Schizosaccharomyces pombe: one gene and its partners. The gene in region 1 interacts genetically with each later gene. Each region holds a gene or a part of one and is shown in the gene's direction. Other genes may lie near its edges.

What was found.
Region 2: of scs22 (region 1) and rtn1, changing one suppresses a phenotype caused by changing the other (phenotypic suppression), as found in Schizosaccharomyces pombe (one study listed by BioGRID).
Region 3: of scs22 (region 1) and yop1, changing one suppresses a phenotype caused by changing the other (phenotypic suppression), as found in Schizosaccharomyces pombe (one study listed by BioGRID).
Region 4: of scs22 (region 1) and tts1, changing one suppresses a phenotype caused by changing the other (phenotypic suppression), as found in Schizosaccharomyces pombe (one study listed by BioGRID).

What each region holds. Positions count from the first base shown.
Region 1 is NC_003424.3:4,475,380-4,483,688, reverse strand, and holds scs22 (VAMP/synaptobrevin-associated protein family protein), read left to right. Parts: upstream 1-3,737; 5' UTR 3,738-3,777; coding exon 3,778-3,967; exon of another isoform or gene 3,968-4,139; intron 4,140-4,196; coding exon 4,197-4,312; intron 4,313-4,393; coding exon 4,394-5,047; 3' UTR 5,048-5,050; downstream 5,051-8,309. Other genes in the region: G-protein-coupled receptor Stm1, read left to right, coding at 914-1,729; SPOM_SPAC17C9.11C (zf-C2H2 type zinc finger protein/UBA domain protein), read right to left, coding at 1,759-1,796, 1,955-2,531, 2,677-2,784; nuclear proteasome tethering factor Cut8, read right to left, coding at 5,051-5,839; protein Pex19, read left to right, coding at 6,979-7,072, 7,215-7,819; protein dhm2, read right to left, coding at 8,115-8,309. UniProt on the Schizosaccharomyces pombe protein: Vesicle-associated membrane protein-associated protein (VAP) implicated in maintaining the cortical endoplasmic reticulum (ER)-plasma membrane (PM) attachment.
Region 2 is NC_003423.3:1,259,408-1,266,851, reverse strand, and holds rtn1 (reticulon Rtn1), read left to right. Parts: upstream 1-3,247; coding exon 3,248-4,174; 3' UTR 4,175-4,554; downstream 4,555-7,444. Other genes in the region: protein dbl7, read left to right, coding at 5,012-5,833; AP-3 adaptor complex subunit Apm3, read left to right, coding at 6,212-6,252, 6,297-6,716, 6,765-7,444. UniProt on the Schizosaccharomyces pombe protein: Required for the correct positioning of the cellular division plane by delimiting the actomyosin ring assembly at the cell equator. Overexpression causes cell lysis.
Region 3 is NC_003421.2:2,193,983-2,201,349, reverse strand, and holds yop1 (ER membrane protein DP1/Yop1), read left to right. Parts: upstream 1-4,149; 5' UTR 4,150-4,237; coding exon 4,238-4,288; intron 4,289-4,421; coding exon 4,422-4,704; intron 4,705-4,827; coding exon 4,828-5,042; 3' UTR 5,043-5,557; downstream 5,558-7,367. Other genes in the region: Rnase P/MRP subunit Pop5, read left to right, coding at 1,657-2,076; DNAJ domain-containing protein Psi1, read left to right, coding at 6,258-7,367. UniProt on the Schizosaccharomyces pombe protein: Required to generate and maintain the structure of the tubular endoplasmic reticulum network and the vacuole. Induces high curvature in membranes and causes membrane tubule formation. Involved in membrane/vesicle trafficking.
Region 4 is NC_003423.3:4,366,009-4,372,970, forward strand, and holds tts1 (tetra-spanning protein 1), read left to right. Parts: upstream 1-2,333; 5' UTR 2,334-2,380; coding exon 2,381-2,440; intron 2,441-2,539; exon of another isoform or gene 2,540-2,626; coding exon 2,627-3,406; 3' UTR 3,407-3,808; downstream 3,809-6,962. Other genes in the region: arg41 (argininosuccinate lyase), read right to left, coding at 1-759; COG complex subunit Cog3, read left to right, coding at 3,992-4,060, 4,103-4,504, 4,555-4,725, 4,766-4,903, 4,959-5,189, 5,233-5,769, 5,811-6,470; acb1 (acyl-coenzyme A binding protein), read left to right, coding at 6,909-6,962. UniProt on the Schizosaccharomyces pombe protein: Required for the correct positioning of the cellular division plane by delimiting the actomyosin ring assembly at the cell equator.

The sequences.
Region 1 (8,309 bases):
TTTTCATTACCCTTGTTTAGAAAAAAAAATAAAAATCCCAATTTGTAAGAAATTTTTATAGAGTTTTATAGTCTCGAAATTAAATCATGGAATTAGCACATCTTTTACTGCAAATAATCTGAGAATCAAACAAGTCACGTAAACATTTCAATGTTTAATACTGCTAGCGATATTATGGTGTATTAAATTTTATAACAAAAACGAGTTAGCTTGACATTGATAAAATTAATGCGACTGTTATTTACATTGAGAATTATATTGTTAAGTGAAATAGGATTATTCGAAGGAAAATCTATTTCGCTTACTATTCCTTTATATTTCTTTAGAATGATACCTTTGGATTGACTATCAATTGTATCTGTAAATCCACGGACACTTTCTTAATTCTGCGAAACTGCATGGGCGGCAAATTTTTCTTATCTTGAAATCTCTATATAGCCTTGCCCGAGGTAAATAAATAACAGGACGGCTGGGAGGTTGATCTTATCCAGAGCCAAACTCACCACCAAATCTCTTCTGTTTCTTTACAGTGGGAGAAATATTGTTTACCATTGTTATTATTATTATTATAGATATTCCTTTTAGTGTTTATTTTTTAAAACAAAAAAAAATACTTGTAACGAATTTTCATTAAGTATCATCTCTTGGATCGCTAAAATAAATCAGCGAATATTATAGTGCTGAAGCATTACACGTTCGAGGAAGTTGACAAATTTTAATAATTGCTTATCATTCCTATTAAATTAATAGTTTGATTTCCCTTTCAGGTTGCTTCGCTTTTGTAGCCCTTTGTTTCCCGTTCTTTTTATTTATTGTCCTCCACACTCATATAAAAAACTTTGACCATAAAAAGCTTAGACAAGCTCTTCTCAAATTCATTTTAAAATTATCTGTTCGCAAGCATTTTTGTCCCATGTCTGTGATAGCTCCTTCTTTTGATATGGCTAACATACTCACGGAGTTGTCTTCATTTTTAGGAGCATTATCCCTGGGATGTTGGGTCGTTTTACTGATCCCTCAATTACTTGAAAATTATAAAAACCAGTCTGGTGAAAGTATCTCTGATTTATTTTTAATCATCTGGCTTATTGGCGATTTCTTCAATGTACTTGGTTCCATTTACGGAAATGTCTCTTCTACTGTATTGGTTCTCTCATTTTATTACATTGTCTCTGACAGTACCCTACTTATGCAAATTTACTACTATCGTTGGAAAGCTGCCCGTCGTATTGCCAGTCGTGAACACGAACCCTTACTCCAAAGTCGTTCATTAGAAGAAGGTCTTCATGCACCCATTGGTAAACAACAAATTTGGTGGGATCGCCTTTCTACCCGTCAACAATTTGGTGTAATGGGATGTGTGGTTATTGTCTCGACAATCGTTGGAAACTTAATTATTTCTAGTGCCTCTTCTGACAAGAGTGATGATGACTTGAATGCATGGCCGTTTACTGCCGGTTGTATCAGTTCTGTGTTATACTTCTGTGCTCGTATTCCTCAAATCATCAAGAATCACAAAGCAAAGTCTACCGAAGGATTATCCATTATCTTTTTTGTGTTGGCCTCTGTAGGAAACACTTCATACGCTTTCAGCATTCTCGTATTTCCCGCCTCCGATTACTTAAACTACACATATGCTAACCTGCCTTGGATACTTGGCGCGTTCAGCACCATCTTCCTTGATATATATATCTTCTACCAGTTTATCAAGTATCGTAATCATTATTAACACAGCATAATTATCAAAAGGTCATAACTTTACCATTGCGGAATAAGAACGGCTGAGGGAAACAAATCTATGCAAGCGTTAATAATATATTCCATGTCTATAGTTCAAAGTTTTCAGAGGAAACAAAGATATGTCGTTTAGATGCTAGTAGCAACACAATATTCTTTCAAAAACATGTATTCTAATGTCACACATGATGACAGTAAACACTAGTTTGATACTTACCAAGTTGGTTAACCGGTTTATCAAATACATCAGTGCCGTATGAGGCACGGGGAAAGGTAGTGGTAAACTTAGTTGGCGGTGACACGTTCATTTTCTCAGCGACCTGTTGTGCCAATTGGCGTAGCGTCTCCTCAGCTGCAATAGTTATATTACAAACTTGACCATCGTGTCGGATAGAAAATCTGCCTGATGTAGGAGGGGTGCGAGTACAAGTAGAAGACGAATTGGCATTTTTAGGCTGCTTGATGGGAGCAGCCGTTTCTTTTACAGAAGAATTCTTATTTTCCCGTTCTGCAGCTCGTCGTTTTTTATCGCGTTCAATTTCTGCGAGGATTTTCTTACGCTGCTCAGCATCTTCAGCCTTTTGTTGACGGATCTTTTGCAAGTCACGTAAGCGGGCTTGATCCTGCATCTTTCTCATAGCCTGTGCAGTTTCATCATTGGATTTTTGAAGGATTTTATAATTTGTCTTCTTCTCTTCCAGAGCCAAAATCCTTTCTTTTTCCTTTTTCTCCTTTGCTTTCTCTCTTAAAGCTTCAATAGCTTGTTTTAACTCTTCGGGAGAACGCTTCTTAATCTATGTTTTATAATCGTTGTTAATAAAAAGAAAGGATCGAGTGAAACAAATTATTGTTTTCGTGAATTATAATAATAAGGATGGTTAACAATTCGAACGCTTCAACCATTCAGCAAAAAGTAAAAGGAGTAAAATCTATACATACCTCTTCTTCAGTTTCCTCAAATTGATCATGACTGGTTTTGGTACTATGAAATTCAGCCATTTCGATGGAGGAAAGCAATTTATCGCATTCCAAACATTTCAAAACCATTTTTGTGTAGAGTTTGTAGTTGCAAAAGGCAAATTACAATGACGCTCAAAAATAGCCCTACGTTCCATCGACTCAACATCTAACGTGCTAATATCTACAATATCGTATTACCAAACATCGCAGTTGAGAGCATTATAAATTTGTTGGTCATTGAAATAGAAATGACAGGTCAAATGAAACAAAATAATTGTAGTTACCACCGATTACGCTATGAATTAGAAGAATAAATGATTGTATATATTGCACGACATCCGCAGACCGATGATTGAAAATGATTACTGACTTTCGTGATCCTGTAGTTGGCATCCACTCGAGTAATTCGTTTCCTTTATACATGGTATGCTTTCTAAAGCATCGCTGATATTCCTTGAAATAAAAATGTTGATTTTTCCCTAGCATAATGACCATTAACGAAAGTATACAATATCTATTTAATGATTGTCTAAACCAAAAAACGTATTTCCTTTGAATAGAAAGTGTAAACGAATGCGCAATTTTTTTTTGAAATCATAATGTTTACTTCATCCTTGCATTCTTAAGTTGTAATTAAGACAATTCAAACGCATTAACATGACATTTAGAAATTAAAAAGGATAACTTGAATCATCCTTTTTGGGTATTTATATCATTTATTAATTTCACAAACAATAAATCCATATACTTATTGGGATTTTATAACCATACTGCATTCGTACATTATTCACCTACTGCAAAATATTTTTTAGCATATATTACTTTTTACTTTCAAAATATCACATTTATTTTAATAATATCGTTATAAGGCTTTGTATAATATCGATGAAAACAGTTACTTGAATAATTATCTCCTTTTATTTCAGTATCCATATATTACCATAATCTTTGCTCAGCCTCGGAAAATCACACACAAGTATGTGTGACGTAAAGCCACGATTTTTGGCTACACTGCGAAATGGTACTTCGCAGAGTAAAGTAGTACCACCTCTCGCAACAAACTCGCCTTTCCCGTAAATCATGGCTCTTGAATGTGATAGTACAATTGTGTTTCCTCGACCACTTACACGACTAGTAAAATGTGATTTAGAACTTCGCAATACTGCACCTTATCCGATCGGATTCAAAGTGAAAACTACTGCTCCTAAACAGTACTGTGTGAGACCCAACGGTGGTCGAATTGAAGCCAATTCGGCTGTAAGTGTTGAAGGTAAGATAATTTATATTTAATTTTGAACCTCATTTGCATTTTTTGATTTTATTCGTTTAAGCGGTTCCCATCATTGATGTTGTCGGGTGGAACAAAAACGTTGTCATCAACGTGATTTTCTTTTGCAAACTAACAGTTTTTATTGTTTTTGTGCGTGCACTGGAAGATAATTTGTGCTCATTAGTTATTGCTGTAAATTTTCATTTACTAACTTCTTTTTTTTTAATAGTTATCCTACAGCCTCTAGATCACGAACCGGCTCCTGGCACAAAATGCCGCGATAAATTTTTGGTCCAGAGCACTGAATTGAAGCCAGAATTACAGGGAATGGATATAGCAGATATTGTATGTGATAAAAGATATACTTACATTTACTTTTTTAATACATGCCATACATAATTGATGTTCTAACCAATACTTTAATAGTGGACTCAAGTCAGCAAGGCTAATATATCGGAACGAAAAATTCGATGTGTTTATAGTGAAGGCCCCAGTACTGCAAATGCTCATGCTAATGCTCACCATCAACCAGCTCAAACAACGACTACATCTATTCCTACTTCTGCCACTGACAATTATACCACAGTAAATGGTAATGTTAATCAATCTTACTCTAAAGGAATAGACGGAACGGCACTTCCTTCGACCCATGCAAATCCCGTAGCTGCTCCATCTACAGCTACTACACAGCATACCCAGCTTCCTAAAACATCTGCAGTTTCTCACCAGAAGCCCCATGAAGCCCCATCTACTGCCGTAAAAGCTCCTACTGCAACAGTCGCTGAAAATGAACCTTACCCAAAGCCTCAGTCAGTGCCTACTACCACTTCTCCTAACAATGAAAATAATGCATTAAGATCTACCGCTAATGTAATTAATAACACAAGACAATCAACAGCTACGAGTCCATCTATGTTCGCTGGAAACAGTGGAAATCAAATAGGACTTGCACGCGTTTCATCGTCTTTTGGGCGTCCGACTAGTGGTGCCAAGGTTGTTCCTCAAATTCATAACACAGTTACTGTGCAAACCGCTTTCCTATTAGCCATTATATGTTTCCTTATAGGCCTTCTGTTCTAGTTTTTAAATATATTGATGCATACTGTGCCAACCCATTCCATTGTCATTCCCAATGTTCATACTATTAGTATGACGATGAAAATTGTTTTGTGGATTTGTTTGTTGAAAAGTATGACTTCTTTCATGTACAAGTGGCTCATTTTTTTGTAATTGCTTAAGGTAATTTAATGCCTCTTCCATTCTGTTTTGTGATGTTTTATTGTGCTCTTCCAACTCTTCCAAAGGTAGTAAAGGGACTACAGGCCGATCCTCAAGTTGTCTTAAAACAACAAGCCACGCGCCCGTTAATTCATAGTACGCTTGACTTTTATAAACATTATGGTTGGGATTATGGAATTCTGGCAGTTCGTGGACAACGTTTGTAGCGGCATCAAGAAAAGTAATATTTTTCTCAAAACAAGTAGAGTATGGAGGTAAATAACAAGGAACCATATCATTAAGCGCATGTAAGACAGCCATGTACTTTTCACGAATTCTATTAAATGCGTAATCACCCCTCTTGTCACCACCATAGGGAAATGAGTCATTCAAGTTAATTAAAAGTTTACGCAACGTTTCAACACAAGTATCCATGGACGGCGCCGGTAATATGCCCCGTATATCACGTGCGAGATCAGGATGCTTTTCTACACATTGTAATAAAATTGTAAAAAGCTGTTGTTTGTCTGAATATTGTAGCAGTCTCGACAATGGCAGTTGCTCACCCACAGGTAGTTGACGAGCACGCTTAGAAATGTCTTCGTCAAAATCAGCTTTGCGTTTCTTAATCTGAGAATAAGATAAGGTCTCCATGAATTAAGGAAATGAACAGTAACAACAAATAAAGATACCAACTTCAAACGTGAAATCGTCTGATTAATTATAACAAAGAAAATGAAAATTACAAAGAAATGGATATTCCAAAAGAAAGAGGAAAAAATTTCAAAAGTAGTAACAATAAAACAAAGATAGAGGATACTTTGTTAATGAGCTTCCTTTTTTAAAAGCCGGAAGGATGGCTATTGCTCAGTGTATCGACTTATGAAAGCTAGCAATTTAATTTTTTTCTCAGCCCAAATGAAATAAAACCGTCGATTATAATTTCTATATTACAAGAAGCTCTATTGCCCGCAATACCAGCTCAATTAGAACCTCGATTTCTTAAAAAAGATAATGGAAAATGGTAAGAACAATTTAGTGGCTCAAGAGTTTTCTTCTCATGAGACGTTACCAAACTATTACTTAATTCCTTAATTTGTTTACTGAAAAAATTACATTTTATTTAATATAATGTCACCGCAGCTGAGTGTCAAGCCTACAATAATATGTTAACGCAGTACAGAAAATCGTTAAGTTGGAAGAGCAAAATAATAATTTTTTTCGAAGTAATTGTGCGTATGGATCAATGTTATAGTCAATAACTATTTAACTAATTGTTGTTGGTAAACAGTAGTCAATTCTAACTTATTGGTGATGCTAAAAATGAAAACAAAGCTTCATTTCAACTGATCATAGGCAAGTAATAAAAGCAGGGGGTAGACTTTACGTTCTTGTGTCGACGATTTTATGATCGTTAATTTCGTACTCGATTCATACCAGATACACAAACAATGAATAATTAAAACGATTCATACATCCAGTAAATAAAAAAAATTCCATTAAATTTGTTGTTTGAAGATTTAAAATTGCGTCAAATTTGAAACCAAATAACGCATCTTAATGCACTTGAACGTTTTCACGCTGATATACTTTGATAAACAACGATCACTACGGTTTTACCTACATGAAAAATAATAGAGAAGCACTTTATTATTTTTTTTTGGCAGTTCCAAATTTTCATTTTTTTTGAACTTACTACTTTTTTATTTATTTTGTGAATTACATGATAATTGAACTTGCAAGAGGCTTTTGAAAAACGACAAACGTATGCTGACATCTGATATATAAACGGAATGTCAAATCCAACTATTGAGGGAGACGAAAACCGTAAAGAAAATACAAAAAGCAACACAAAGCCGAATTTTGACGACCTTGATGATTTGGATGGTATGGAACATCGGTAATGTCCTGACTACGATTTGTGTATTACGATATTTCGTTCAAGTGAATTTTGCATTGCATAAATATAAAAAATAATGAGAGGGTAGAAAGGACTTTACATTAAAAGGAAACAACTAACAAAACAAAGATATCCTAGATGATTTAGATGTACCCAGTGCATTTAAGAACGAAGAGAAGAAAAACATAGATGAGCATAAACAAACCGGTAATACATCAAAAGAGAATGAGAGGATAAAGAATGACGATAATTTGAATTCACTTATTCAAGAAATGATGAGCAAATTTGAAGACTTAGGGGGACCGTCTGGCTTGGATGGGAGTCAACTTTCGTCTAGCTTTCAGAATGATCAGTTACTCAATGTTATATTAGAGGATCAGTTTGCAACGGAAAAAGATTCGGATAATGGAGCCGTTAACTATGGTGCTTTAGAGGCTGCCTTAAACTCCCTAATGTCACAAGTTACCAGTAAAGAGATTTTGTATGAACCCCTTAAAGATCTTGAAGCAAACTATCCTAAGTTTTTAAAGAATGCGAAGGAGACAGAGAAGCAAGGTTTTGAAGAACAGTACCAGAAAATTCAGAAATGTATTCAAATTTTTGAGAGTCCCGAATATGATGCTCGTAAAGATGCAGATATCATTTCGAAACTGGTAGAAGAAATACAGGAAAAGCCGCTTCCAGCTCCATTGATTGATAATTCTATGGAAACTGCAGGATGTCCAACCCAGTAAGTGGCTTGACTAAAGGATATGTATCATCGCTGTTATATTATTGAACTTAGGGTTTTGGATTATATATAATTGATTCTTTGTAAAAATTTCCTTATTTTCATTTTCAATTTAGTAACCCACGAACTTAGGTAATTAATTCTTTTGATTGTAACTGCTAAAATATGTTAAGTTGGTTTATATAAAGTTGTTTAGAAGTTTTTAGCTGACATTAGGTCAAGGCGAACCAACGCAAGGCTTTGACAGCAGCAGCAAACGAATAAAATCATAGTGTTATGTTTTCCTTTTTCAGAAATCGTTACAATTGATCAACTTCTTCTTCCAGATCCGATGGTTCAATTGCATAATCTTCAGAGGCATTTTCAAGTTGTTTTTCCCATTCCATATAAGCGCTTTCGTCTATAAATTTATTCATTTCCATGGAACCTCCCCTTTTATGTTCCAAAATCCCCTGTCGCCTTTTAGCTTGTTCATTTTCATTTTGGGCACGTGT
Region 2 (7,444 bases), on another chromosome or scaffold:
CAACTTTAAGAGTGTTGGATAACGTTTTGTATGCATCCAGTATGCCAGCACACCTTTGTGACCCATAAAGAAGCGACGATGCTGATTGGTAGACGGCAGTTTGCAAGTAACATACCAGCCGAGTTTTTTCGGGTAACGAGTATCGAGACGAGACCGGCAGAAAAGAGTGATAGGAGAGCAGCGAGAGGCAGGAAGGGAGAGAGAGAAGAGAAGAGAGAGAAGAAGAAGGAGAGGAATGGAAAGAGGAGGAAAAAGTAAAAAATAAATGAAAATAAAAATAAAAAATAAAAAATAAATAAATAGAAAATATAAAGTAAATAAATAAAGTAAAAATTAGAAAGAAATGAAAAAGAAACCAACTAAGAAAGAAATGAAACTTCAGTAGTAAATATGTAAAAACAATAAAAATTCTAAATGAAATATATTCTTGAATATAATAAAAAAAATAAATAAATAAATAAATAAAAAATTTGAAATGAAAATTCACTGTAAACAAATTTATCAGACTCATTTTGTATATGATGCATAAATTAATACTATTTAATTCTTTTTTTTTTTTTTTAATATTTTTTTCTATCATCAATAAAACCATTTCCTACTTTTTTTTCTATACTTCCACACGATAGTACACAAATAAAACAAAAAATGAATGAATTCAGAAAAAATGGTTGAACGAGAATTGATTACAAATAGATTTCATTAACCATTTTATTTTGTTTTACTTCACTTTTTATTTACTTTAATTTTATTTTATTTTTCATTCCTATTCATCCTTTTTATTCCTATTATCTGTTGCTTTTCATTTCCTCCTTTGCTTTCTCTCTTGTCCCGCTACAACAATCCCTAAATAACCTTAAAGCTTTTACTGCTCCCACTCTGCCCATCTGTCTCTCTCGTTCTACCTTCTTCCACCATATACCGCACTTTGCTCCCTTTCAATAAACCTCTTTCACTCTCACTGATCCATAGTACTCTTTTTCTCTTCTTTCACCTTGTTTTACTCTCCTTGACTTTCCTTGCATTTCTTTGGCTTTCCTTGCACTTCTCTCCTTCTCTCTATATCACATACCGAAACAAATTCTTTCACCCCTTTCCTCGTTATTCAGAAAATTTCCATCTCTTTCCATATTTGACCCATTTGACTAGCTAAGCATTCTTGCTGTGTCTAATTTTACTTTTTGCTCTTTTCGTTTCCCCTTTTTCCTCCTTCGTAATCCTTCTTTTTCGTACTGCACTCCCTTGCCTTATACATGTACCGATGCCATACTCCCATCTCATCCCATCCGATAAGCGGCAGTCGCGACCAGCTCATGCTGGTGATGGTAACGAGATTTGTCCAACAATTCATTAAACATCATACTGTGGAACAAGACCGTACAGCAGAGTGCAGTAAAGGATTTGCTAAAGGAGAGAAGAACCCGACCGTTTCAGTAGAGTAGAGTAGAGAGGAAAGAGGAAAGGATGATACATCATTACTTTGAATACGATACAACACAATTCTTTCAGTACAATGTAATTCACTTCTATGCAATGCAGTCCACTTCTATGCAATTCAGTCCAGCGCAATGCAATTCCATACATTTCATTTCAATTCATAATTTCATATACTAGCATACGATGAGATGTCCAATTTATTAAATACGTTTTCTCTTTCTCCCTCCCTTTTCACGAAAAGGCAAGAAAAGCCTTCTTGTTCATCATACGGTATGCTTGCAATTTTTAAGTGGGTGTAAATAAACAGACACACAACGCATAATGAGATGATGAAGAATTTCAATACAAACTGATTTGTACAAAAAAAATTAAATTATAAAAAGAAAATCTATTCAATTCAATTCAATTCGTGAAAAAATAAAAAAAATAAAAAATTCGAAATAAAATTACATTAAATTAATTAACGTAAACTGAAATAAATCAATTACTAAATGTAGAAAAGGTATGGTCTTATTTATTTCATCATATATATATATATATTTTTTTTTGAAATACATTTGCTTTGATTCTTAAGAAATAAATTTTTTGTCAAAAAAATTTCCAAAAAAAAAAAAAAAAAAAAAAAAGGCTTCAGAAGTTTGAATGAATTTTGTTTCTTCAAAGTTTTAATTGATTTCAATTCCTCAAATATTAAATAATTTTTTAAACAACAAATTTCTTCGTGTTTTACTCACTTGTGGATGATTCATCATTTCTCACCGTTACTATTCCTTTCCTTTTTCAATCTTTAATCCTTTCTTTATTCAGTTGTATCCTTTTCCTTTTCATCACTCTTATCCCTTTCTCCTTTACATTTTACAATCAAACTCCATACTTCGCTCTCCTTTCAACAAACTATCCTACACGAATTTATTTATCTATTTCTCACTTTTTTTTCGCCTCTTGTAGCCTTTCCTGCACTTAATCATTGTTTTCCCTTTATTTACTCTTTTTTCAATATCTCTAGCTTTTGCAAAAGTCATCCGTTTTCGCTCGTTCTTTCGTTTTTCATCCATTTTCATTGTTTCTCTATTCATTTCCTTCTTTTTCATACCATTTCACCCATCTTTTCATACCATTTAACCCATCTTTTCCCGCCCATCTTCTTCCTATTCTTCGTTTTTCTTTTACCATCCAAAATTCTCTTTCATTAGCCTGCTGTAAACCGATTATAAGCATGATCGCTATAGTCGCCGCTGACACAGACTTATTGAGCCAAGAACAACGTCATTCCATGATCAACGCTATGACTGCTATCTAACCACCAACCACCGACTTGACTTTTACCATATAAAAGCAAAGCTTTCCAACTAACAACTTTCTAACAGTTTCGTAAGTGAAACATATTGACTTTCCTCTCAACAACTCGTGAAGGTCTCTTTTTGTATTTACCCATTCTACTTTTATTTTTTCTTTCGATCAATATCTCCCTTAAAAGTTAACCCTTTTGGAACTTGGCTTTGGATTTAATACATATACATTTTATTTATCCTACAGCAAAATCCAAAAATCTTTTATTCACTTTTTTAAGTCTTTGTTACAAAGTATTTCGCTCTTCCGAAAAGTCGTCCTTTACTAGCTATTTTCTTTAGTCGGCACTTTTCAGAATTAGTTTTCTTTAAATTTTCTCTATTTTTTACTATATCTTAAAAAAAAAACACTTGCACCCTTTTTTAGTTTAAAAGGTTTCTCTTTTTTTTTAAGGCTTCTTTTGATTCTTAGTAACTGTTTTACCTTAAGTTGTTATTTTAAAATTGAATATAACACGCAAATCATGTCTGAACAACATTCATTAAACCCCTTTGAATCCGGTTCCGTCACTGCTTCCGATGTCGCCGCTGCTAAATCCGGTGCTGAGGACCTTGTAAATACTTTGACTGCTCACACCGTTCACCCTTCCACCGAATTGCCCTCTGCCACTTCATTTCCCTCTGCTCTCCCCAACTCTGAGAATCCCGTTATTCAAAACATCTCTTCTTCCTCTTCCGAGCCCCACCACACCTCTCAATCCACACCTGGCGAGACAAGCAGTCCCGTCTGCCCAGTTTCCGGCGCTCACGGAGGTGCCGACAAAAAATGCCCTGCTTTGGAGGCCGGTTGCCCTTTTACCAACACTACTAAGCAAAACGTCGATCCTGAGATCTCTAATGCTTTGTGGTCTGTGTTGACTTGGAAGAACACCTCTTGCAGTTTCTCTACCTTGATGAGTATTCTTGCTCTCGTTTATGTCCCTTCTTGGATCAATCTTCCTCGCCTCTTTTTCAGAACTTTCCGTTATGTCTTTTTGATTACCTCCATCATTGAATTCGGTGGTCTTTTCGCTTCCAACGGTAAGCGTGGTGTCTTGTCTCACTTCCGTTCCTCCTACATCACCTGCGACTCCAAGGCTCTTGATAGGATTGTCAACTCAATTGTCGACATTTTCAACGTTATGTTGATTCAATTCCAACGTATCTTGTTTGCTGAGAGCCCTATTTTGACCTTTACTGCCTCTGTTGCTGCTTTTATTGAGTTTTTCCTTAGTGGCTTCCTTTCCTACAAGTCTCTCTTTGTTTGGAATGTTTTGTTTGCCTTCATCCTTCCCAGATTGTATGTATGCAATGAGCGCTCTATCAAGCATTTGGTTGCTTCCCTTGAGAGATCTGGTGATAAACTTAAAAAGCAAGCTACTGAGACTATAAACACCACTGTTAACAAGTAAACCTCTGCGGGATAATTTGTTTGATTGTTTCTGTCAGGTTGCGCTTGATTTTTATTTGGTTCGCTTCCTCGTTTATTTTAAGGTTTCAATAGTATCTTTTGCAAAAAAATGCAAGGGTAATAACCATGGTTTTGTTTTCAACTTTGAAAATGTGTTGCTGTGTTGTGTTGCGTTTCAAAAGTGTTGTATTATGACTTGAATTAGGAGATTGAATGCGTTTTCTCAATTATTTTGCTTATGACTATGAGTGTTTATTTTCATAAATACGTCTTTCTCATCTCGATATATTGTAAATGTAACAGGTTCGGCTCAATCTCTCATTTCTCTTCTGAGTTGCAAACTATTGCAGTGTGGTTGAAGTTCTTGTTGCTTTGCTCAATATGATGCTATTTTATTATATTTTCTCTGCTTCGTTTAATACCCAACGTACTTATTATTCGTAATTTAATCTCGTAATTACTCCGTGTTGTTTTGTAGGTCCTCCTCGTATTCCTTATTGCTGCTCTTTTCGAAAAAAAAAATATATATATATATTTTCCATAACTAAAATGGGTCTGTGGACGAAAAAATCTATTTTGTTTAACCAAATGACTAAAGTATTTGTTAACCAAAAATTATTATTTTTTTTCCACTACTTCGTATTTAATACAGCCGATCATACAGTAAAGTGCTGATTACACTCGCATGATCGTTGTCTGCTCTCACCACAAGTCATTCACTTATATCAATGTTGTGCCAGCTTTTTACGTTTAAGCTCAAAATTTCCTTTGTATCCATATATTAGGATTATTGAAATTCAATTTATTGTCAATTTATCATGCCGCAACGCTATTATACATGAGTTCCAAGAAAGTCAAATACAATCCTCGAAAAAGCGCATCTCAAAATGAAGCTACCTCAGCTTCAGCAGGTAGCAAAGCTTTTGGATTTAATTCCGCGAAAAAGGAGAAACTTCATAGAATGGCGCTGTCTATGGAAGCAATTGAAGATGTTGAGGATCAATCGTTCAATGGCAAGTCTTCCAATCTAGTCAGAAAGCGTCGGGGTTTGGATGAAGACATTGATGAATTTTCTTCTTCATCAGAGGATGAAAGAAAGCCTGCTCGACATCCTCAAAGCTCCTCTCAAAAACCATTTGCTAGCTCTACATACAACGTAGAGCTTCCAACATCTCCGACTAAAATTACCAATATCGGTCAGTCAAGCCCTAGAGCATTGCGCTACCTGTCTCCAGAATCTCAGAGAATAAAAAACGCCAAGATGAAGTCGCCTATTTCAACACATCTGGCTAAATATTCTATTCATCACATGGGTACTCCACCATCTAAACCGTCATTCTTGAGTTCTAGCGTGTCTTCCCCTGCATCTAGTAAACAAAAATCACTTTTCCAGTGCACAAAAGATCTCGAGAAGAGATATATCAATCGTGTTCATCGTTCATCTGAAACTGAGCTTGTGCAACTTTCTTCCATTAAAGTTCTCGATCGATTTCTCTCTGACATATATCTAGTTGAAGCTGAAAAAAATGAGGAAAAATGCACAGTTTTACTTCTAAAACGTTCTAATACTGATGTAGACAATAGTAGCTCTCTATCTCTTACTTTACCTTTGTGTAAATTTACCAAAAATGGGCATCAAGTACACATACATCCTTGCTGATTCATATATAATGCTTTTTGCTATATTTACACAAAGCGTAAAGTTCATTGTGATATATTTATTTGTCATATATATATATTTTTTACAAGTATCTTAATCTACGACATTTATGAAAGGTGGTTTTCTGTTTAATCTAATTAATTTTTCAACCTGAGGTTCCTGCGTACCTTTTAGCAACCCATTTAAACGGTTTAGCATGTCAACAGTAGCATGGCTTAATTACTATTAATTACTTAAATTGTTTATAAATTAGGCTTTAAAAAGATTGAGAAAGGACATCTATGGTTACCCTTTCCTGTACACTAGAAGACCTTCTTAATCCATTTACCTTCATACGTATTCATCACCAACCAACCGCTCCTTTCATAAAACTTTTGAATGAGCACAATAGAAGCAATATATCTTGTAGACACTAATGGGTATGCGTTAGCTGTTTATTTACTTTATTAATCAAGTTGACTAGGGCGTTACTACTCCAGTTGGAGTCTCGAGGAAGGACATCTCCCATAACGTTAGAACATATAAAAAACGAACTTTTTCGCTACAAACTTCGAAATGAGGAGCCTCCATTTATATTACATAACAAAAATTTTTTGATATTTCAAGAGTTAGAGGAAGATGTGCGTTTGTGTATTCCTACAACTTGCGACACTGAGCCTCTCTACATTCATGATATTATGAGACGCATTGTGGATGTAGTTAAAACATTTTTTGGTGGGTTTAATGCTTCAAAGGTCGAGAAAAATGTTTGCGTTATTGTCCAGCTATTAGCTGAAATGATTGATTATGGATATGCAACTTGTATGGAACCAAATGCATTGCAGGACATTGTACCACTCCCTAGCTTTATGAATAAGTTTATGGCAGTTACTGGTCTACAAACGTATGTTATTTAGTTTTCTGTTTTTGCAGTGCTAACCGCATGATTTAGAAATACACCGACTCTTGCAAGAGATACCGTTCCTTGGAGAACAGCTAAAGCAAAATATGCAACCAATGAATTTTTTATTCATGTACTTGAACGCGTATCAGCCGTTTACCAGCCTAACGGAAAACTTGCTTTTGGCACAGTTAAAAGTGATATGGAATGCAAATGTCAAATATCTGGTATGCCTTTACTTTTGCTGAGTTTGAGACCCGGCACAAAACTAGGGAATGTTCGGTTCCACCAGTCAGTCAATTTAAAAAGATGGAAACAACATCCGGATCAGATTGAATTCATTCCACCGGACGGAAAATTTACATTAGCTTCTTTTCAAACAGACTTTGCTACCCAGAAATCTTTGCCTGTTGTTGTTGAAGCAAAAAATAAGTTGGATGGAAGGTTCGAAGTACGTATTCGAAACACCGGGAAAAAATCCGTTGAAAATTTAAAAATCCTAATAACTATTCCTCAAGCTCTAAAGAGCGTTACGGTTACCGAGGGAAATTATATTTTTCGTGCTTCCAAGTATACTCATATGGAAGAAGGTATTCTGGAGTGGTCGGTAAAAAAATTAGCTTGGACATCCCCGGCCTTAGTGTTGACAGGATTCCTGGCCCCCTTAAAGAAAGATGCCAATTCAACCGAAGAGTCAAGTAGCTACTCTAAGCTTGAGCACCTTGATTTAC
Region 3 (7,367 bases), on another chromosome or scaffold:
CTTATATATTGTTATTTTACTAAAGCGCGCGATCTTGGAAAATTGTCAATTTACCATGTAAGACAATAAATGAGTTGTACAACAAATGCGTAAATCAAAAGTATTAGGAAAAAGGTTGGTTTACGTAAAAACAATAGCTGAAAGATTTTTTAGTCTTAAAAAAATAACCAATCTTTTAAAATTTTGGAGCAAAATATACACCAAATTTAGTAAACATGTAAGCGAACTCTCTTCACAAGTAAATGCAAGCAACTCTTGACATTTGTATACCACCTGCTTAAATCGTTAACAAAAAAATTTTTATATTCTTCTACTTAATACAAACCAACATGACCTAAAAAGTGCGTTGAGTTACACGAACCTTTGGAAATTTACGTATCATCGAAAATTCATAGCTATGAATTCGAAATAATTATTAATAATTATTTATTCCCAAAGATCTGGGAAAATTAAAAAAGCTTTCTCAAATTGCAACTTATTAATTTTTATTAATTCCAATTTTAATTGAATTTACATATATTTTTTATTTTCATTTGAGTTGAAAAGTCTTTCCTTTTCAATCCTGCAGTATTTCAAAAATTATTACTCTTAATTTAAATTTTTTTTATCTACCCATGTTTTATTAATATTACATTCTTTACCTACATCCTTTTTATTATGAAGGCCAAAAAAAGTTTACTAAAGTTCCATTTTTTATAGATCATCATACCTATATGAATAAAGATTACATTTCATCAGAATAAATTTAAATTTAATCAATGTTATCCTTTGACTACTAACTACGATAATTATCCCATTGTATATTAATCAGTAGAATGGGAGGAATGCTTTACAACTTCTTCCCATGACAAATTCATATATCAATTGAAGCTAATATTCATGGTCATATATAAAGCAATATCAAGTAGATACAGGGTAACGTTTTCTACTGAATAATCGAGGTGTTAATGCTCTGACTTAGTTCATGATTCCACTGAATGTACGAATGATTTCATTGATTTGTATATTCTGACTGTTCAGGGATAGATACATGCAAGGAACCAAACGATTAATAAAAAAATAATCATTTTATTTAAAATTTATTCATTTTCTGAGGATGTTGAAATTGTTTCTGATAGACCTCTATAACTGTTTGTTCCAAAGGGATTTAAAGTTAAAAAATGAATGTTTACTGTGTCGTAAGCATGATTATCGTGCATTTAGAATTTGCATGTCTTCTAGTCTAATTATAACCAAATACCATTTACTTAATCTTAAACAAATTATCTACCGCTATGGCAATGTAGCAAAAGCAATTAAACATATTGAAATTTACGACTAATTCTAATCGTTCATTGTAAACACCTGTTAGATAATATGATTTTTTCTTTAAATTTCTATTCCATTAAATCTTAAAAGCAATAAATTATAACACAGACGTCTCTATAAACTGTTTTCTGAGAAATTTATTCGTTGAGCAAGTTACATTTCTCTAACCGGTGTGCAATAAGTAGCAACGTTCATACCCACTACGATCCATTTTTGGGCAATTCCATTTCCAGCATTATTTATTCTTGTTATAGCATAACGATAATTTATTATTATTATTTGTCTCAAAGGTCATATTTCAATCAAAATCGCTGATTAAACTACAAAAAATATATATATCGTAAAACTATGGTTCGCTTCAAATCCCGATATTTACTTTTTGAAGTATTATATCCTGAAGCAAAAGAGTTTTTTGACTATCCTACTATCCCTTCTGATAGTTCTATAACTACGTCTAGTCTTTCTAAAATAATTAGAACCATGGTTGCAGAAAATTTCGGTGATGTTGGTATTGGAAAGGTTGCATCTAGTCTAACTGTAAAATATTTTTCACCTAATACATCTACTGGCATTCTGCGGGTCTCAAGACAGCATTTTCGTTTGGCATGGGCCGCATTAGTTTTAATAAGGGAATTATATGGCAAGCCTGTAATAATTCGCGTGGTTCGTGTATCTGGTACAATAAAAAAGGCAGAATTAGCTGCCATTGAACGAAATAAATCAGAAATTCATAACATCTCTCTGATGGATGAACCTATTGAAGTTTAAACCCTCCATCTTTGGCATTTGCTGGGTTCGCAAGTTTTTACTTTGACTTCACCTCTAAAGATCGAACTCAAGACGAAATTTTTTTTATGCCTTCATGTGCTTCAAACTTATATATTGATTCCTTGGTTTCGTTCCAAAACCCAATTGATGCAGTGTGTGCAGAAAGTTGCTGCTGTATCCACCTTATTTCTCATGGGTATATTCATATAAAACTTTAATTCATTAATCCAGAGAGGAGGCATATGTTTACCCATAGCTGTTTAGATTTTGAAATTGAGGATCTGGGAAGATCTAAATAACAAGTATGCTGCATTTCCATTGCCAAGTATGAGTAAACTCTTTAAACTATACAACTATTCAATCGCCAAAAAAAAATTTGATGAACTTGGAGCTATTAAGTTAATACTTTTCTCTTGGAAAATGAGATATCGTCTGTTTTGGGAATACCTTGTTTACTATTTTCATTGTATCATCTGTTAAGCTTGACAACGGCCAAAAAGAGTTGTATCTACGAATGCATACTTTTGCCCATAAAAAAATAAACATTTACGTATTGGAATGAAAAAAATCATTGCAGGTCTCAGTAAACATCTCATGAATGTGTTTTCTTCGTGGGAAGGTACATCCTTAATATATCCCAATGATTCTAAATTTCCAGCAATCGTTATCAATTTTATTTTTTACAGACAAACGAATAATTTATTTAGCTGTTGACGGATGCTATAATTCTATGTCGTTAAAGACTGTATACACTTTACAGTTTGAAAAGTTTGCTTGACATTTACCGGTGCTTCTACAAGGTCTAAAGTAAGAAAGATAAACCAAAACTATTGTCATTACAACAGTTAACAGTAGCCAAAGACAGCTATAATCCCAACAAACATATAAAAATTCCTTAAATTAGGGGATTTTCTCAAGTAACGATTTTAAAAACCAGATAACAATCCTACTGAGTCAAAGAAGCAACCATATCCTTATAACGAAAACATCAGAAATTACTCAAATGATTAACAATATCAATAAACTAATCTATCAATTATTTTCGATGAACATTACTTCTTCTTATCCTTGATTAACAGCTATGTATGCTATTTTATGATATCTTCTCTTGAAAACCCCAAAAAAACAGTCACATTAAGAAGAATATAAAGGGCACTGTGCTTTCTGCTTTTGCATAGTTCTTTCACCTGGAGTGTGCTCATCTAAATAGTAAATAGGTAAGTTTCATCATTTCACAAATGGAGATTTCAGAGGATGCGAAATATATACCCAAATTGTATAGCAAGGATAACGGGGTAATCGTTTTGGTTGCCTTCTTGCAGTGATAAAGCATTTTGTCATAGTTACACTGATGAAATTCTTCATTTGCTTAAAACTTTTTGGTCTTAAGTTTGAAAATTCTTTACTAATTTTGAAATAGATAAAAGAAGCCGTTTTTAACAGTTAGACACCATCCTATTCTTGAGATGGTTTTTTTATTCGATCCACGAGTTTTTGATAATTACCGATACTATAAATTTAATAAGAAATTAAAAATTTACTTTATTAAGTCAAAACTTGTTTACATTTAGTAGTAATTTAATTACAATTGAAAGAGTAATGTTGGTAGTGATATATATCTATGCAGACTTGTATGTAATGTAGACATTCTTTAAATCAGAGAACCGTAAAGTTCGGTTGTCCTCCTTAACTTTAGATAATGCAACCGTACATATTTTGCAGGGCTTGACTTTAGCGAACTGCATAGTCCAGTTGTTCATGGTTTGGTTAAAACAATACAACGTAGCATACTGTGGAAGTAAATCGCTCATTTTTGCTATGGTTTTTTTACTGTTAAATGCTTTGGTAATGAAGTAAATAAACTTAGACAGAAACACAAGATGACTGTTTGATCGGCTGAAAATACATACGGCAATTCTTTTGAAAATCGGATTGTATTTGTACTATACAGTATCGTATTTACTGCGACTTTCCTATGCACTAATTAATATACCACACTGACGGTACGAAGCGAATGCCTGTAATCGTGACGTTGTTCACTACCACCGATAGAATAAATGCAAACTTATCTTTAGCAAACAACTCCCATATTCTAAGACAAATAGTTCGTTCAAAAGAAAAATTATTGAACACTCAGATAATTTAATTAAGCAGTACCAAAATGTCTTTTCAAGTTCGTGTTAAGCAGAATATGCAAGATTTGGATAACAGGGTATGTTAGCAATAAGGCAGGATATCCGATGGAAGCCGCTTTACGCACTCGGCAATATAGGCTATTATTAGTATCTTGTGATTTTAGAAATTATTCTTTCTATTCAAATTTGTTTACTAACTTTTTTTTCCAGTTGGCAGCCTTTCCTCAACTCAACAGTTTGGAAAAAAATTTTGGTGTTAGCAAGCTTTATGTTTTTCTTACTGCAGCTGGTATATATGCCTTGTTCCTTTTCTTGAACTGGGGTGGATTTTTACTGACCAACCTTCTGGCATTCGCGATGCCTGCCTTCTTTAGTATCAATGCTATTGAAACTACTAACAAGGCCGATGACACTCAATGGTTGACCTATTATTTGGTAACTTCATTCCTCAACGTTATTGAGTACTGGTCTCAGCTAATCCTTTACTATGTCCGTAAGTGTTTAAATTTTTTGTATTTAGAGGCGTGATTATAAGATCATTAAGGATCTAATAAATTTTGCTCTCTGCTTTTAAATTTATTTTTTTTATTTACTAACTGGGGATTTTCCTTTTTAGCTGTGTATTGGTTACTCAAGGCTATTTTCTTGATTTGGCTTGCTTTGCCTAAATTCAACGGTGCTACCATTATCTACAGACACTTGATCCGTCCCTATATCACTCCTCATGTGATCCGTATTTGCAAAAGCGTTTCTCGTCAAAATGCCGCTCCTGCGCCCACAGCCTCTTCTTTTGCACATACTACCGCTACTGACATTCCACCCTCTATCTAGAGATTTCTGAACAAAATGTTTGGAATGGACTTGTATTCCATAGAATAGTTATGCTATACTACTCGATGAATGATTGAAAATCATACAACGGTAACGTTGTTTTCTTGTTTTTTCCCATCACAATTGACTATATTTTGGACAATTGCAAATAATTCAGTGTTTCAGAAGCTTTGCCTTTCTGAATCTCTTTCCTCTAGTTCTGATTATTTTTATTGACTGTCAAAAATTTAAAAAAATTTGGCCTTTTATATGCCGCTTTCGGCATGGACCTCGGCAATGTTGAAGGGTTTATACTATATGTATATCGCGTAGTCTTTTTGAGCAGTACAAAATTATAAGGCTGCATGCTTTACCACAGTACCGAAATTGCAATAGACATTTATTTTATGGCAACTATAGTAACTTACACACACATCCCAAAAGCAATAACCAGACTACAGTATACTTACAATGATATACCCATATTCGAAATTGCTGAAAAAAATTCTGAAGATTAATAACAAAGTACTATCTCAAAGTAACTGCCGCTTTGTAGAATTGTAATATAAAAATATCGCAATCAATTTATATTTTGTACAAATACATACAATACGTCTTTCAATAAACAGTTAACCCATTATAGCGTCGTTAAACACAATAATGAACTCTACCACTTTACATTGTGCATTTAAGAAACTTCGTTAAACCACATCAGTTTCTCGCTTATACTCGAAGTTTCTAGCATTACATCATGCCATGGTATATGGTCCGTCCCAGCGGGTACAAAAACATCTACTGTCTTCACACATTTTGTTTCGTTTCCAAACGATATTTAGAGTGTATTGCAACGTTTACATTCCATTAATATTTGGTCGAAAGAATAGTATTTCTTATTGACTTTACATACACTACTTTGGTACTATTTTTCTTGAAAATTCAGGAACATTGTACAATTTGAATTGTAAGGTTTTCTTACGAAATATATATAAAGGAGTTATAACACAAGAAAAGTGGAAAAATAAAACTTTCATTTCGTTTATTCGAGAACAAATAAACCGAAAAAGCTTCGCTTTTGTTTGATTTTTCGTTTCTATTTATTTCTCTTCATTTTTCTCGTTTTTTTGATTCCACCATAACGATTTATATTGTGTTTGTGTTTGATAAAGCATCTACACTCGCACTTTCCTTTTTCATATTTCACACAGATAGAAAAAACAACAATTACTACAAAACATCATGGTAGCAGATACCAAATTATACGATTGTTTGGAGGTCCGCCCCGAGGCCTCTGAGGCAGAGTTAAAGAAGGCATATCGAAAACTTGCACTTAAATACCATCCAGACAAAAATCCTAATGGTGAGAAGAAATTTAAAGAAATTTCTCTTGCTTACGAAGTATTGAGCGATCCCCAGCGCCGTAAGCTTTATGACCAATACGGTATCACAGAAGGGAATGCTGCTCCACCACCACCGGGTGCTGAAGGTGGCCCTGGTGCAGGCTTTGGCGGCTTCCCAGGCGCCGGACCTGGTGGAGCTCGAACATTCCACTTTAATATGGGTGGCCCAGGTGGAGCTCAATTTTTCAGTGCCAGTGATCCGAACGACATTTTTGAAAGAGTATTTGGTCATGCCTTTGCTGGCGGTGGAGGCATGGGCGGAGGAATGGGTGGAATGGGTGGTATGGACGATGATATGGACATGGATGGAGGTTTTGGTACGCGGACTCGTGGAGGTGGTATGCCTGGCGGATTCGCTAATATGTTTGGCGGTGGTGGAGCAGGTCCTCACGCCAGACGTAGCCATCCATCTTTTGGTGGATCCCGTCCTAGTCAACCCCCCGCTCAAAACGAGGTTATCACTCGACCCCTTAACGTGAGCCTGGAGGATCTATTTACCGGATGTACCAAGAAGATGAAAATATCTAGACACATAATTGATGCTTCTGGTCAATCGGTGAAAGCGGACCGAATTTTGGAGATCAAAGTAAAGCCTGGATGGAAAGCTGGCACTAAAATCAAGTTTGCTGGTGAGGGTGATGAGAAACCGGACGGAACTGTTCAAGACATTCAGTTCGTGCTAGCTGAAAAACCTCATCCTGTTTTCACACGCTCTGGTGATGATCTCCGTATGCAAGTAGAGCTATCCTTGAAGGAAGCACTTCTGGGCTTTTCAAAGCAAATTTCAACTATTGATGGAAAGAAGCTTAAAGTATCTTCGTCTTTACCAACTCAACCTGGTTATGAAATTACGTATCCTGGATTCGGTATGCCCTTGCCAAAGAATCCTTCTCAACGTGGTAATATGATCATTGAGTGCAAGGTTAAATTTCCTACCGAACTTACGCCT
Region 4 (6,962 bases), on another chromosome or scaffold:
AATATGGGTCATTACCATACTAGCCCAGAACATAAATTCAATAACATAATCGCGGTCAGCTACAGCATTCATTGAATTCATAATAACCCCTTCAAAACCAAGTTCCTTTTGTAAGAACTTACGATCTACGGCGAAAGGATTACCAGCAAGTGCACCAGCGCCTAAAGGGAGTCGGTTGACTCTAGAATAAATTTGTTTCAAGCGATCCAAGTCATTTAATATAGAAAAGGCATGAGACAATAAGAAATGGGACCAGCGAATAGGCTGGGCTCTTTGCAAATGAGTGTAACCGGGCATAATGATATCAAGGTCAGACTCTGCACGAGCAACAAAAACTTGGAGTAACCCAACTAAAGATTTTTGGATGATGTCCAACTCATCACGTAGCCAAAGGCGCATATCGGTCGTAACTTGATCGTTGCGACTTCTTCCTGTATGAAGCTTACCAGCAATGCCTGTACCAATTATTTCTCCCAATCTGCGCTCGTTAGCAGTATGGATATCTTCGTCAGAAGGTTGAAGAGTGAATTTATTTGTCTTCCATTCATCTCGGACAGCCTCTAAACCATCTAACATTTTATCCAATTCATCAGCACTAATGATTCCGCGTTGTTCTAATGCCTTAGCATAAGCTTTCGAGCCATCAATGTCGGCATTGAACATGCGCTTGTCATAATGAATAGACTCATTATAAGCTGTCATCAAGGGATCAGTGGCGCCAGTAAATCTACCGCCCCAAAGTTTTTGTGAAGAAGCCATTCAGAATTGTTAAAACAGAGTCAGTTTTTCAAGTTTTCAACCAACGCAAAAAGGAGGTAGTACTACTTAAAATTTAATTTATCTAATCTTTTGAGAGTATGGCTATATGACCGTGTAACCTCTTCCTTATCGCAACCTATTGTTATATCACATTAACGATACGGCGATAGATATGAAATTGATATTATAATCGCTATAATAAGATCTAACGTATTGGAACGTATAAACACTTAATAAATGTTTACATTCCGCTTCGTTATTTCTTTCCTTAAGTTTACAAAAGATATCATATATGGAAGCTTTGGTTGGAATCTTACTGTATAAATGTACTCAACCTGAATGATTTGTTTTGTCTTTCTGATTTATTAACTCAGAGCTACCAAAGAATTTCGCGAGCATTAGCTTAGATTTAAGAAAATTGACTGTTATAAAGATTGAGAATTCTTAAAAGATTTTCTTGTTAGTTGTGATTGTTTTTTCGATTTTTATTAGAACGATATTTATAGATGCCTGAAAACTCATTGGTAGATAAGTATTGTTTTCTCGTTTTTACTAGTGTCTGATCAGACTAAACTGGTTTAAACATTATGATGCATCTTCCGCCCAATTTCTTTTAAGATAGCTAACGAAAATCAATTAAAATAAACATGGACCAACCGAGTTTATGAATCCACCAAATATAGTGGGATTATAAAGAAGAAGAAAATCAACGAAGAATAAAGTGATAACAGTACATGATTTTCCTTTTCCCTCTTTACTTTCGTCTCTTACTGCCTTAAATTATACACTGCATTTCAAATTGTCAACTATATTATTGATTTCTTTTGGCATGAACACATATAGGGCGTATTACTTCGACAGTCTAACATTTACTTATACCAAGCTTCTCAAAATTCGTTTATAGTACTCGTCTTCGCCAACAAATAACTTAACAATTTACGTATGGATATGTTGTTAACAGAACGTCTGGACTCAAAACGGAATCCACAAAGTGTTATCTTCGAGAATACTCTAGAGCCAGTTTAGATCTTGCTAGTTATTTTTAAATAGAAGTTATTGAAGGTTGCCGAGCAATACAAGTGTGATATAGTAATGTTGAATCTGAACCATTTATTGTCCACTAGTAAATGTGCAAGAATTAATCCATTTATTGTTTCCATGTAAAACATAGAACAGATAGCGTAACAAACAACATCGTACTTTAGCATTTCACTTTGAAAAATTTTAGTCAGAGCTTCTTGTACATTGTTATCAAGGGTCGTAAATGAATTATGTTAGCTTTCTGGAGTGTCTGCTAGACTTAAACAATTGGATTTTAGAAAACTAAAGAGTGTAGCCCCTATTTAAATCTATTTAATTGTAATAGCTTGAATGCTACTCAAAGGCGTAAATCCTTTTTTAAGCGCTTATATTCCTGCTAAAAGAATTCTAGTCAAAACGTGTACTAGCGTATTTCACAGAAGTTCCATAGGTTTTCTTTTTCTGATGTAGGAAAATTTAGGATCTTCCATTGGTAAGCGTACATTGTACTCTATCACAACTATTACAACATACTTTTTGCTGGATATTAACTTAACAAAAGCCACATCTTTAAAACTTTGAAAATAACAACTTTGCTATAATGGAGCCAAAACAACGAGTTGTCAAGCCTTTAAAAGAAAGGGTTTTACCTGTTGTCAAGGTAAATATATCTATCATGTGTAAATCAGATAATAAATGTTGATTATAAGAAAAGTTTCTTATTTAGTTCCATAACGTAACTGTAATCTATTACTAAAACATAGACTAATTTGTCAGCATTATTTTATTTTGATTCAGTGTCATATTGTCTTCACTCTTTTAATACATTACTAACCGTTTATTATAGAACACCCAGTTTGTTTGGTTTTCGGGGCAAGTAATAGTGCTAATCTCTTCCGTCTTGTATGCTCTTCAAGCAATCCCTTTTCGTTCCGCTCCTCCATTTTTGTTTAAAAGCGCTGCCTTTGGTGCCATCGTTGCATATGCAATTGTCCTTTACAAAACTTATAGTCCAAACTTGACTTCCCGTGCTTCTTGGAATAAGCATTTCTTTGCCCGTCTTATGCTCGATGACAATGTTCAGTATTTTATTTTAGCTCTTTCAATGTTGATTGATCGTCCCATCCTATTTTCTCTCGCTCCATATGCCATTTACGCCACTTTCCACATCTCCACTTACTTGCGTAGTGTGCTTTTGCCTGCCATTTACCCTAATATTTCTGACGCGAAAACTGCGTCTTATGCTTCTCGTGTTTCTAATTTGCTAAATCAGTACACTCGAAGCCAATTTCAACCTGCTATGCAACTTGTTGCTTCTCTCGAAACATTTTTATTGTTCCGTTTGTTCTTTGGGGTTTTCTTACGTAAAAACTCAATTTCCAGGTTGGTGGGCTATATTTTCTTTCTTCGCATGAGATACACTAATAGTCACTTTACTCGTGCATCCATTAAAGCCGTTAGCCTTCGAATGGATCGTTTGGTTGCAGATAACAGAGTTCCTCCTGTTATCAAAAATGCTTGGCATACATTCAAAACTTATGTGTCCAAGTTCGGTGCTTCACCTGTAGGTACTGCTCAAAGCCGTCCCACTGCATCAAGCTCTACCACTGCTCCCTCATCTACTTAAAGTGATGCCTTATTCCTTTTGATTGCTAGAGATTTATATAAATTTCACCAATCAGTGTGATTTTAATATGTCTAAGTGCTCCTGGTTTTTGAGTTCTTTACTATTAACGAGTAGTTTCTATTTCACCCAAGTAAATTTTGAATGTTCATACCGTTTACCTCTTTCTCTAAAAACTTGTTTGAGATAATTCCGTTTATTTATTTTTGCTCACTACTCCTCTATTTCAGTTATCTTTGTTTGGGGGGTCTCCTCAGACTTTAGTTTAGCTTTTTTCAAGGAAATTGAAATATGGATATATGTTGTTTATCCAAAAACTCTTTGAGTATTAAAAGATTAAGAGGTAAAAATAATACGTTTTATTGAATTTTGTAGCACAATAAACACATGTATAGCAGCGCACTCTTGAAATCTAGCAAGTTATTAGTTTACATTGGATAAAATACCAGTTTCAATTGAATTTATGTGATGTTAATGCGTTTTGTTTCTTAGCATCTGCGCAAAGTAACGTAGCGCTGTGTTATGGTTCACTGGGAAACACCAACAAAGTGCTCGATGTTTTTCTGATTATCGTAATTATTTTGAACGATGTTTGATCAGTTGGAGTTTTATCCTGCTGTCAACTATGAGGATAATGAAACTCAAAATGATATAAAAGTAAGCTTAGATAAATGTTTTTACAAGGGCTTACCCAATTAGCTACCCGAAGTCGCCAAACTTGAAAATATCGAAACAGTGCATTCCATTTCTAAGGAAAGACGCGACTCTTTAACGGAAATTTTAAATGATTCTTCAAGCTTACCGGCACGTCCGTTTTCTCTGCCTAATCCCAATAATTCAACCGTAGAAAAGCAGTCGTTATTTCCATTTGAAGAAAAGATGAACCCCATATGGATAATTTCTAGACCTACTTTCTCTATTGAGCAAGACGCGGAAAAAAAAATTAATGAACTTCAAACGTTTACAAACATTATTGATCAGATATTGGGTCAGACTAATAACATTGAGTCAACATTGTTATCAATGAAAGAAAAGTTTGAAAGTTCTGAAAAAAAGCTGAGTGAATTCTCTGAAATGTGTGAGAACCTTAGTACAGATGAGGTATTAGGAGCGTGCTGCATACCACTTATCATTACTAACACCTTGAACAGATGCGGTTTTCCGAAATAGCCGATGGCATAAGAAAAGGATTAACAATTTTTGCTCCTTTGAAAGAGCTTACTCGAGTTTTTCGGCATCCACCTCCTGACTTTGCTGGCAAAGTTTCCTTTAAAGAGCACATTACTCAATTAAATACTTGCATCATGTTCCTTGAAGAAAATGTACGAAATTCCATGTTTTTTATTTTAGCTGACTTTTTAGTTGGATTTTCAAGAAAGTCCGCATTACCTTGGTCAATACAAGAAACTGCTATCTCAAGCGATGGATATATTTAAACCGTATTTTATACGGATAATTAAACAAACTACTGATCAAGTGCTAAAGGATTCCAAAAAAATGGTAGGCATATACTTTTGGGCGTTTTTGTTTTCCCCAATCATTAACAACTATTTAGGATGTTCACAAACAGCTTCATAGTTCACTCTTCTACGCCCGATTTAGTGCTGTAGGTCATAACCTTTGCCCCACTATCACTGAATTATGTAAATTATGCTCTAAAGAAAGTTTAGATGCTTTTCTTCCTGCTTTTTATGATGTCTATTTTCAATGCCGCACGCGGCTTCTGAAACCTGTACTGGATTATCATTTGAAAAGTTTTTTTATGGAGAAATCCATTTCAAGCTATGTATGTTTAACGAAACATATATAATTAACTAATGATACCGTAGATCCAAAAATCACTTGCTCTTTTACAACTTACTTTTTTTGATGAAAATAAGTTATTCCGTGAAATTCTTATCATGGATGATTTTCGATTTATGCATTATTGGAATAATCTTTGTCAAAGCTTTTTTGAAAATAGTCGTTCATTAATTTTGCATGAAAAAAACCTTACCGAACTTTGCGAGGTGTGTTCTTATATCCAATCATTTCAAAACGCCATTTTAGAAGGGGAAAGGGAGGACGTTGATAAAAAGGTCGTTGAATTTCTTAATCCTCTTGTACTTGAGTTGCAAGAGCGTCTTTTATTTGTGGTACAAACTGCCATTGAAACCGATATTCAACGATATTCCCCTACGGAAGAAGATTTAAATCCTATTGCAGATGACAAAAGTTTGCTCTTCGACTTAGAAAAGTTACGCTTGAATAATGATGAAGAAAAGCTAGACCCCGATGTTCCACAAAAACTTGCTATGGCTCAAGGCTGGTATCCGGTAGTACAAAAATCTTTAATTATTTTGTCGAAAATCTATCGATTGGTGAATGTACGTGTTTCATTTAGACTTTATCCATTAACAGTTTTTAGTCTCAAGTATTTGACGAGATAGCCCTTGAACTCGTGCACTCCTGCATTCGTTCCTTGGTAGATGCGTACCGCTATTTTAGCCGGAACAATGATAAGCAGTTAGCAAGGCTTTTTCTAATCAAAAATTTTTTGGTTTTAAAAGACCAGTTGAACTCATTCGATATACATTATGCTTGTATTGAAGCTGGCGTTGATCTGCGAAAAGTATGGGATAGTGTTCGTGAATGGCGTTCTAACTTGAGAGGCGTCTTACAACTTGTTTACGAAACGTTTCCTAAATTTATTACAAATGCCGTAGATACCAGGCAGGAACTTAACCAGCAGTTACGTGTAGCAGTAAATGGGTATATCGAAACTGCAGTTATACATTACACGGAATGCTTAAGTATCGGAAACCTCGAAAGCATAACCGAGTTTCAAAATCGAATTCAAAAGTTTCCTGAGTTGAGACAGCAAATCTCACTCTACCTTTCAGAAACGTGGATCATCGAACTGTTTTTGCAGGCTATTCGAGAAGAAGTTGTCAGTAAATTTCAAAATTTTTACGAATCAATAGTTGCAAATGAAGATATTACAGGAAGTGACCACAATAAGAGTGGAACAACTTCGTTAAAGCATTTAAATGAATACGTTGAAGATATTTACTCCGTTATGAGTTGAATATTTAATACGTTGATGACCCGACTAGATTTTGAAAACATATTTCATACTTATTTTTTGCATAGTTTAATCAAGTTGAAGAAATTTACCGTTTTAAAAATCGTTTCAAAATTATAAATGTATTTCTATTTGACATTTTGTATGCTGTGCATTTAATTTTTTTTTTTATTTATAAACCACTGGTAAGTATCGGTATATAAAAACAATTTCTTTTCTTCTTCGTAAATATAGTGAAAATTCAATTGGGGATTATATAGTATTGTCGATATTAGACCGAGCAACTTCTTGTCATATTTAACAAATGTAAATATATTATATTATGATATGCAAAACCTGAGTATTGCAAAGTCTGTGGGTTCGAACTCTGTAGGTCGGATAATATATATGTATATATATAATGGATGTCAATAATCACACGGTCTTTAACCTGCAACAACCATGTCTTCTACTTTCGAGCAAGCTGCCGCTGACGTTAAAGAATTAAAGGAAACT